2 linked regions of the Danio rerio genome follow. The protein of the gene in region 1 interacts with the protein of each later gene in a pairwise test. Links are inferred from orthologs where the notes say so. Each region holds a gene or a part of one and is shown in the gene's direction. Other genes may lie near its edges. The genes, in order: gpr25 and vapb.

Region 1 (4,456 bases):
TCTGAGAAGAATTTGAGAGTCTGACCAAGAATGGTAAAATCTCACAATGTAGCACACTCCTAAGACTCGACCCCTTTGTGGACAAGGAAGGTCTGTTAAGAGTCGGGGGTCGCATTCAGTGCGCTGACATCTCAGATCCAGAGAAACATCCCTTGATCCTTCCATCTAGCCATCATGTGACTGATCTTTTAATTCAGCATTATCATGATCAAGTGGCTCACCAAGGACGGCATTTTACGTAGGGCGCTATACGTAGTGCTGGATTGTGGATTGTCAGCGGTAAAAGACGCATTTCAAATATCATCCACAAATGTGTCCTATGCAAAAAGCTAAGAGGTAAAATGGAAAGTCAGAAGATGTCGGCTCTGCCCCCAGACCGGCTTTCTGTAGATCCACCTTTCACATACACAGGTCTTGATGTTTTTGGACCTTTCACTGTGGTGACACGCAAAACAAGAGGGCACAACATTGAGAACAAGCGATGGGCTGTCATATTCAGTTGCTTGAGTAGTAGAGCAGTTCACTTGGAAGTTATGGAATCTTTATCAGCGTCAAGCTTTATTTGTGCTTTGAGACATTTTTTGGCTGTGAGAGGGCCAGTAAAGCACTTTTGATCAGACAGAGGGACGAATTTTGTTGGAGCAGGGAAAGAACTCCAAATCGACAGTGGCGACTCTGAGCTAAAAGGGTTCTTGCAGAATCAAAGCTGCACTTGGACATTCAATGCTCCACACTCCTCTCATATGGGGGGTGTGTGGGAAAGAATGATGGGGATAGCCAGACGTATTCTGGAAGCGCTCTTAGTAAAATCTGCTACAAGACTCACACATGAAGTCTTAACAACCATAATGGCAGAAGTCATGGCCATTATGAATTCCCGACCTTTAACCCCAATTTCTACAGATGCAAGTATGCCTCAAGTGCTCTCACCAGCAATGCTCTTAACTCAGAAAGCAAGTGTTGCCCCAACTCCACCAGGAAACTTTGAGTTAGGACACTTGCACAAAAGTCAGTGGCGTCAAGTCCAGATGTTAGCAGATTCATTCTGGAAGCGATGGAAGCAGGAGTACTTGTCCACCTTGCAATCCAGAAGAAAATGGACTGAGGAGAGAGATAACATTCAGGAAGGAGACGTTGTTCTGTTAAAGGATGGGGAAGCTAAGCGCAGTGAGTGGCCAAATGGCCTCGTAACAAAAACCGTAGCCTCATCTGATGGGAAAGTCCGAAAGGTTATGGTAAAGACTGCTAAGCAAGGGGCTGTCAGGGAGTACTTATGGCCTATATGTGACGTAGCTTTACTTTTATCTAGTGATTAAAAGCATAGTGGTATATGCAATACACCAGGCGGGGAGTGTACTGTATGGTGTTGATTCGTTTGGTAAGCTGTGCATTGATTTATTTAAGTGGTGTAATTGTGAAAATGTCATTGCGCCATTCTTTAGAACAACCGGATATTTAAAAAGTCATAGAAGAAGAGACTGTGATCGCCATGCAGAGACGCGACTTGTTGTTTGCTTTTAGCCCTTGTGATAGAAACGACTGTAAGTTACTAATTTTATTTTGAAAACATCTGCAATACTTCCTTTGGGTTAAATTGATTAAGGAGGGTCAGTGTTGAAATGTTTAATGCTTGATGTTCTGTTTAAATGCTAACAAGCTTGCATATAGATGCACGTCATTAAAGTGCCTGGATTGTTTATTTAGCTGTTTGATATCAGTTTAAATATGTCAGTTTATGTTTACAAATGTGAAAGATGTATATTATTTGTGATATTTCGTAATCACTTTGTAATTTTTACCTTTTGTATTTTTCCTTTTTAGTTTTACAAGCAAATCAAGTAAAGGTGCTTCACATTCGCAAGAAGAAAGTGTGATGGTGCTTTATTTCTGTTAACTATCTGTCAGCTTTGGTTTTGAACACCATTGCCAGGGCAGAATATTCAGAATAGTCTAAAAATGCTTTCTTTTTGTGCTAATTTTTTTTGTCATGATTAAATAAATATTTAATGTTATAAATATTGAATGATAGTAATGAATTTAAAAGATCTGTTTTGTGGCTTCTGTACAGTGTTGCGCATATCTTTAATAAAGGGCACTGTCTTTCTAATGACTTGCAAACATATCAGCACGGGAAATCTTCGACTATCCAGCTTATTGCCAAGGTCCCACTAAACCCAGCTTGCGATAAACCCTACAAGTGACAAGAACTGAAACACACACACAAATTTAAATAAAACTGATGTTTTGTAAGATAAAACACTGGAATGCACCTTACATTTCTTAATACTGATTAAAAAAGCTTTCCTTTTAGGTTTTCAATTGTGTGAAATTATCTCACTTTTCTTTTTTCTTGTTGTCTATTCACCTGTCACGAAGTGTGAAGTTATATTATAAGTGTTACAGTTATACTTACACTTTTGAAATCCACTCATTTGCATGTCGATCTAAGATTTAGCTTGAGAGTACAAAAATTCCCACAAGATTTCACCACATGAATTTGCCACACTGACCAGCAGAAAACTGGTTGCTTTAAATTTAACTGTGAGACCCTTTCTTTACACATCAGTTTGTTTGTTAAAAAAGAACTTCACCGAAGGATTACTAATTTGATCATCAGTGAACTTTTGGTGCTTTTGAAAGCTAAATGTCTATACTAAACTTGTCTTATCCAGTCTGAGCCTGAAAGGTCTTAAAGTTTAGAAAATGCAGAGTAAAACCCAGGAAACCACAACATCACACATGACTCAAATAAGCTCTGCACTTTATTCTTTAGTTTGTTGCAAAGCTGAATTAAAAACTAAAAGGCATGACATCAACCGTTTTTTTCTTTTAACTGCTTGCAAGGTGCTTTTTTTCGTCTTATACTGACAAAGAGGAAGTGTTTACGCATTTATGAGAAAACTGCTTTAAATCATTCAATAAAATCCCATGGCACTCACATTTGATTTATTACATATACAAAATATGGAATTCTTAAAATCTTTATTCCCATCGGTGCTTCAGTGGAGATCCCAGAACAATCATGAAGCATTTTCATCCCACTAAAAGTTGTTTAAAATGCAAAAATCTTCTTTAGATTGAATGACACTGTTCTTCCTACTATGAAACAAAAGATTCTGTGAACTATTTAGTCTCAAAGATTCTTCTGGTGTCCATCTTTAAATGTACATAAGCTCATTATGAGCAAAAACAGCCTTTTCAAATGTTTTAAGTAATTACACTAGAGCAGTAAGTCCAAAAATGTAATAAATCACTGATTGATATTTTAGAAGTGTAAATATAAAGAAAAGTGTCACTTTGTGTTAAATTTACAACTTTTAAGGAAACAGAGCATGAGAGAACCTGTTATTGCAGTTTGTGGTTTCCATCATGTGACTTGCTAGGTTTTCTCTTCATTGCCCATCACTTGTGCACAGATGGCAAGCAGCACAGAGATGGCACACTCTGGAATTACAATGAGCTTGACAAGTGAATATGACTATGACTATCCAATTAATTCCACGGACGAGAATCCAATCTACACCCTTCCCGACGCTGAACTGCTGCCCATGTCTAACATCTACATTCCTGTGCTGTACATCATTATGTTCCTCACCGGCTCTTTGGGAAACCTGTTTGTGATTGTGGTCATTGGAAAGCGGCGCAAGAAAAGTGGACGCCTGGTAGACACCTTCGTGCTGAACCTGGCACTAGCCGACCTCGTGTTTGTTCTCACGCTGCCAATGTGGGCAATTTCGACCCGTTATGACGAGTGGCCCTTTGGTGAGGTGTTATGCAAGATTAGCAGCTTTATCATTGCGGTTAACCGCTTTTCCAACATCTTCTTCCTCACCTGCATGAGCGTGGACCGCTACCTGGCAGTGGTGCGCCTAATGGACTCTCGGTTTCTCCGCAGCAGCAATTGTGCACAAATTACCTGTGGCATCGTGTGGGTGGTTTCCTTCTTTCTAGGATCTCCATCTCTGGCGTACCGTCACTTGATCAACAATTCGGTGTGCTCTGAAGATTCCAAATCCTCTTTTGTTCAAGGAATGAATCTTCTGACTATATTGCTAACCTTCTTGCTCCCGGTACTCATTCTAGGCCTCTGTTATGGGTCGATTTTGGTCAACCTGCGACGTCACTGTCACAATCCTGCCAACACACGCACTGATGCCAGACGAAGGCATTCGGTTAAGATTGTGTTTGCTATCATTTCAGCCTTTCTGATCTCCTGGCTTCCATTCAACTGCTTCAAGGCCATCCATGTTGCGTTACTGATCATCAATGGAGATCTTAATGAGGACACCTATGTTGTCATACATAGAGGACTCATGCTCTCCTGCTGTCTGGCATTTCTCAACAGCTGCGTCAATCCGGCTATCTACTTCTTTCTCGATCAACATTTCAGACGCAGAGCTTCCATGTTGTGTCTGAGCTGTCTGAGTCAAAATGACCAAGCACACCAGAGTTACAT
Region 2 (4,600 bases), on another chromosome or scaffold:
AGAAATCGAGAGTCATCAGAGCAGACAGCATTTCTCCAATCTTCTATTGTCCAGTTTTGCTGAGCCTGTGTGAATTGTAGCCTCAGTTTCATGTTCTTAGCTGACAGGTTTGGCACCTGATGTGGTCTTCTGCTGCTGTAGCCTATTTGCCTCAAGGTTGGAGAGATGCTCTTCTGCATACCTCGGTTGTAACGAGTGCTTATTTGAGTTACTGTTGCCTTTCTATCAGCTGGGACCAGTCTGGCCATTCTCCTCTGACCTCTGGCATCAACAAGGCATTTGTGCCCACAGAACTGCCGCTCACTGAATATTATCTCTTTTTTAGACTATTCTCTGTAAACCCTAGAGATGGTTGTGCATGAAAATCACCTTTCTTCCCCATTCTCATGCAGTTTCTCAGGTCATGTCTACATGCCTAAATGCATTGAGTTGCTGCGATGTGATTGGCTGATTTAAATTGGCATTAACGAGCAGTTAAACAGGTGTACCTAATAAAGCGGCCATTGAGTGTATACTAGCATACATTATTAAAAATATTTTATTTCAAAGTTTCAGCTACATTTTTAACATTTTGAAAGGTGAAAAAAAATAATTATGACACAATAATAGCATGTTTCTAAAATATATTCAGAAATATCCCAAATATATTTGTGTGAATAATGCTTTTGTTCATTGAGACTAATAGAGAAATACAGGTGTTTTAGTGAGATGTATTTACAATACAGTAATAAAACTCTTGTATAATTATGTTTAGGCGACACAGTGGCTCAGTGGTTTGCACTGTTGAGAAGGCTGCTTGTTCGTGTCCTGGCTGGGCCAGTTGGGATTTCTGTGTGAAGTTTGCATGTTCTCCCTATGTTGGCATGGGTTTTCTCCAGGTGCTCTGGTTTCCCCTCACAGTCCAAAGACATGCGCTCTCAGTAAATTGAATGAACTAAATCGGCCATAGTGCAGCTGGAAGAGCATCCACTGTGTAAAACATATGCTGGATAAGTTGGCGAAGTTCATTCCACTGTGGCGAGCCCTGATGAATAAAGGGACTAAGCCAAAGGAAAATGAACGAATGAATGAAAGAACTATTTTCAATTATTAAACATGCAAAGCAGTACAACTTTCTTTAGAGGTCATCACATGTTGCAAAGTTACCATAACATGCAGTGTAAAAAGATGATCAAAAGTCACGACAGCATTTTTTAAATGTTATATTAACATAATTAATCAGTCTTTTTTAGTTACCTATTTTAATATAATTTTAATTCATTAATATTTTTTGTTTCAAAGCAGCTTTACATTCAAAATCAGAAAAGTTAGGTTATTAGTTACCATAACTTTATTAGTTACTAATAATTTAAAATAATCATTCATTCATTTTCTTTCGGCTTAGTCTCTATTTTAGAGGTTGCCACAGCATAATGAACCGCCAACTATTCCAGCATATGTTTTATGCAGCGGATGCCCTTCCAGCTGCACTACGGCTAATTTAGTTTAACACTGAATTATTATATAATTAAGGTATTATATGTAAACATAGTTAACCTGCAGTTATATAGTATATAGGTGATATTGTTTGAACACAATCAGTCTTTAAGTATTTAAGCTAACTTAATATTGAGTTTTACGAATTTGAATGAATCATTTTAATTGATTCATAGTTAAATTACCTGTAAAGTTTATAAGATTTACACATTTACAGTATATTTTACAGTGTTGAAGATGCACAGATGACCCATTAAGATCAGCACCTCCACCCTTCACATCAGTCGCCACTACTGAGTGCATACTGCAGGGGCAGGGAGTGACGTCACGGCCAGCCTCCCTCTCTCTCTCCAACAGTCCCTTCCTGCTGCATCACAACAGTCGCTGGCGGATCGGGTAACACTGAGCTATTTCCACTGCCGCGTGGAGTTTTTTATTTCGATAAATGTAACAGAAGTCCTCATCGACTACAGCCTCCGCCGTCAAAGCCCGTCGCCCCCGTCAGTCCGAGCGGTCAGTCCGAGCGTTTGCAGTGGGAGATGGCCAGGCCAGAGCAGGTCCTGCTGCTGGAACCGCAGCACGAGCTCAGGTTCCGAGGTGAGTCCAGAAAGCCCCACACTGACGAGGACTTGCGGATAAAACGCCCTGGATGAAGAGGGAGGGTCAGCGGGTGTGTTTTTTTAGTGGTTGGGGGCTGAAGGAGGCGGCGAGATGGCGTTTCTGGCAGGCCTCGGTGCTTGGAGTAATCATAATAATATTATGGCGCAGCGGTGTGTTTCTCAATCGGTTTATTATTCAAACTCCGCTAAAATGACACCTAATGTGACACGATAAGGTGTTCGCTTTGTGGTTTGTTGTATAGACTGACAAGTGTGTTAGCTTGAGCTAGCTTGATTTAGGCCTTGACATACAGGCTCTGCTGGTGGGCTGGTTAATTCGGTTAGTGTGAAGCGGTTCAACCGGTGTTGCCATGTCCGCATGTAAAATGTCGCTAATCAGATGTGCTCACTATTTGCTTATTTACATAATACAATAGCGAAATGCGTGTTTATCCTACGTGTAGTGTGTGTGCATGTCATGATATATCTCTGTCATCATTGTGAGATGATTTCTCCATTTGAATGACCGCTGTGAGCGAGCTGTCAAAGGCAATTGCTAATCTTTTCCCTTATGCAGACGCTTGCAGGATAGAGTTGTTATTGTAAATATTGCAATAATGAAAATCTGGGTTGATGTGTTTCGGTTTCTTTTGGTGAAGCAATTGGTTATTATTATGTTTTAACTTCTTTTGTCAGAATAGCTAGCATGTAGAGAAATCTGGCAACACTGACAACCTACCTTTGACGCTGCTTCCAGTCAGGAAGTTATTAGCGTTAGTCTGAAGACACCTTTGTTATTATTCCACTTCAAAGTTCAGCATGACGTGGACATGTTGATACTAATGTCATAAACAAAGCTATTCTGGTGTTTTGGATAAAACATTGGTCTTTGGTCGACATTTAAAATTAAATCATTTTCCATTTACATATTTGTTTTTTTTTACAGGATTTCTAGGTTAATGTCATTTAGACTATCATTACATTACTATCACTAAACAGACTAATGCTAGTTTCACTTGTACACTTCATGCCCATGTCAATCAGCTGATCCATAAGACTCACAAAATAAGAATGACTTTCCAAGCTTTTAAATCGCCATATCATTGGCTACATTCCTCATCATTTCTGGGATACTTGTATTTGTCTTGTTCTTTTATAAACAAAAGCCTTTGTGGCATGATCCCCTCATAGAAGAAAGCCATAATTTTTAAAATGTCAATAGTATGTGTAGTTCTAAGTTTAGCAGAAGACTGACAAGGACATTAGCTTCAGCTAGTCTGTTTAGGCCTTGACACACCGCTCTATTGGTGGGTTGGTTAATTTGGTTATGAACTGAAGCAGTTCAACCAATGTTGCCATGCCCTTGATGTTGCATTTGTGTTTTGCTGTCACTTACAAAATGTGCTGTTGAGGGTTTTTTATGACACTGTGTAGCAACATTTTGTTTATCCCACATGCATGTCTTAATAGTTTTCTTTGTCATTATGTGACATTTACTTCTCTCTTTGATCCACTCTGAACATTTCTCCTCATGGTCAGATAATTACAAGATGTATTTCCTGCCATAAGCAGGAATAAACAACTTGAATGCTTGTTTGTGTGATGTATTTTGTTTATTTCTGGCTTAATTGTACAGAAGATGTTTAATATTTTTATGGAGAAATCTGGCCGCCTACCTTGATGCTGTTCCCAGTCAGGAAGACATCAAACACCTGTATTATTATCTAACTTCAAAGTTCATACGACTTTATAGATAATAATGTCATAGTTATGTTGGTGTTTGAAATAAGAATCTTTTAATCCAATGAGAATTCGCATATTTGACATTTCAAGGAACACATTCTTTTGGAAGCAAAGCCGTTGTGAGCCAAACCAGCTTGAAAACATGTTGTTTTTCATAAGAATTAACCTTACACTAGCTCGTGAAGTTCACAATCACAGCATAGACCCTTAACAATGATTTATTGACTGCATGCTGGTCTATTTATTGTACTAATGTCACCTTACCACTAAATATGATACTGCTTTACACTACCTGACAAAAGTAGCTTGTCACCTATCAAAGTTTTAGGAACAACAAATAATAACTTGACTTCTAGTTGATTATTTGGCATCCGAAGTGGCTTATATGAAGGGCAAAGGCCTCTAGATTACTCTTAATTTATTTTATTATTTATTTATTTATTACCAAAATAAAATATGATCATGCCTTAATTTTTAATTATTTCATTAGGACAGTAAGGTCTGACTTTGCTTAGACAAAAGTCTTGTCACTTAACATAAATAATGTACAGTATAGAATATAAAGTCATGGTGCAGTGGAAACAGAAGGAATATTTTGCATAACTCCCATGATCTTGGACAACTGCATCCATACATCTCTGCAATGACTCAAATAACTTAATAATAAAGTCATCTGGAATGGCCAAGAAAGCGTTTTTGCAGGACTCCCAGAGTTCATCAAGATTCTTTGGATTCATCTTCAATGCCTCCTCCTTCATCTTACCCTAGACATGCTCAATAAA

The links.
Region 2: the proteins of gpr25 (region 1) and vapb interact in binary tests that used the Homo sapiens proteins (3 or more experiments, as listed by UniProt). The two-hybrid records come from large-scale screens. The link is inferred for Danio rerio from reciprocal best matches to the Homo sapiens genes GPR25 and VAPB.

Annotation. Positions count from the first base shown.
Region 1 is NC_133186.1:26,792,170-26,796,625, forward strand, and holds the start of gpr25 (probable G-protein coupled receptor 25), read left to right. Parts: upstream 1-1,465; 5' UTR 1,466-3,416; coding exon 3,417-4,456. UniProt on the Homo sapiens protein: Orphan receptor.
Region 2 is NC_133181.1:52,215,705-52,220,304, forward strand, and holds the start of vapb (vesicle-associated membrane protein-associated protein B/C), read left to right. Parts: upstream 1-1,758; 5' UTR 1,759-2,015; coding exon 2,016-2,073; intron 2,074-4,600. UniProt on the Homo sapiens protein: Endoplasmic reticulum (ER)-anchored protein that mediates the formation of contact sites between the ER and endosomes via interaction with FFAT motif-containing proteins such as STARD3 or WDR44.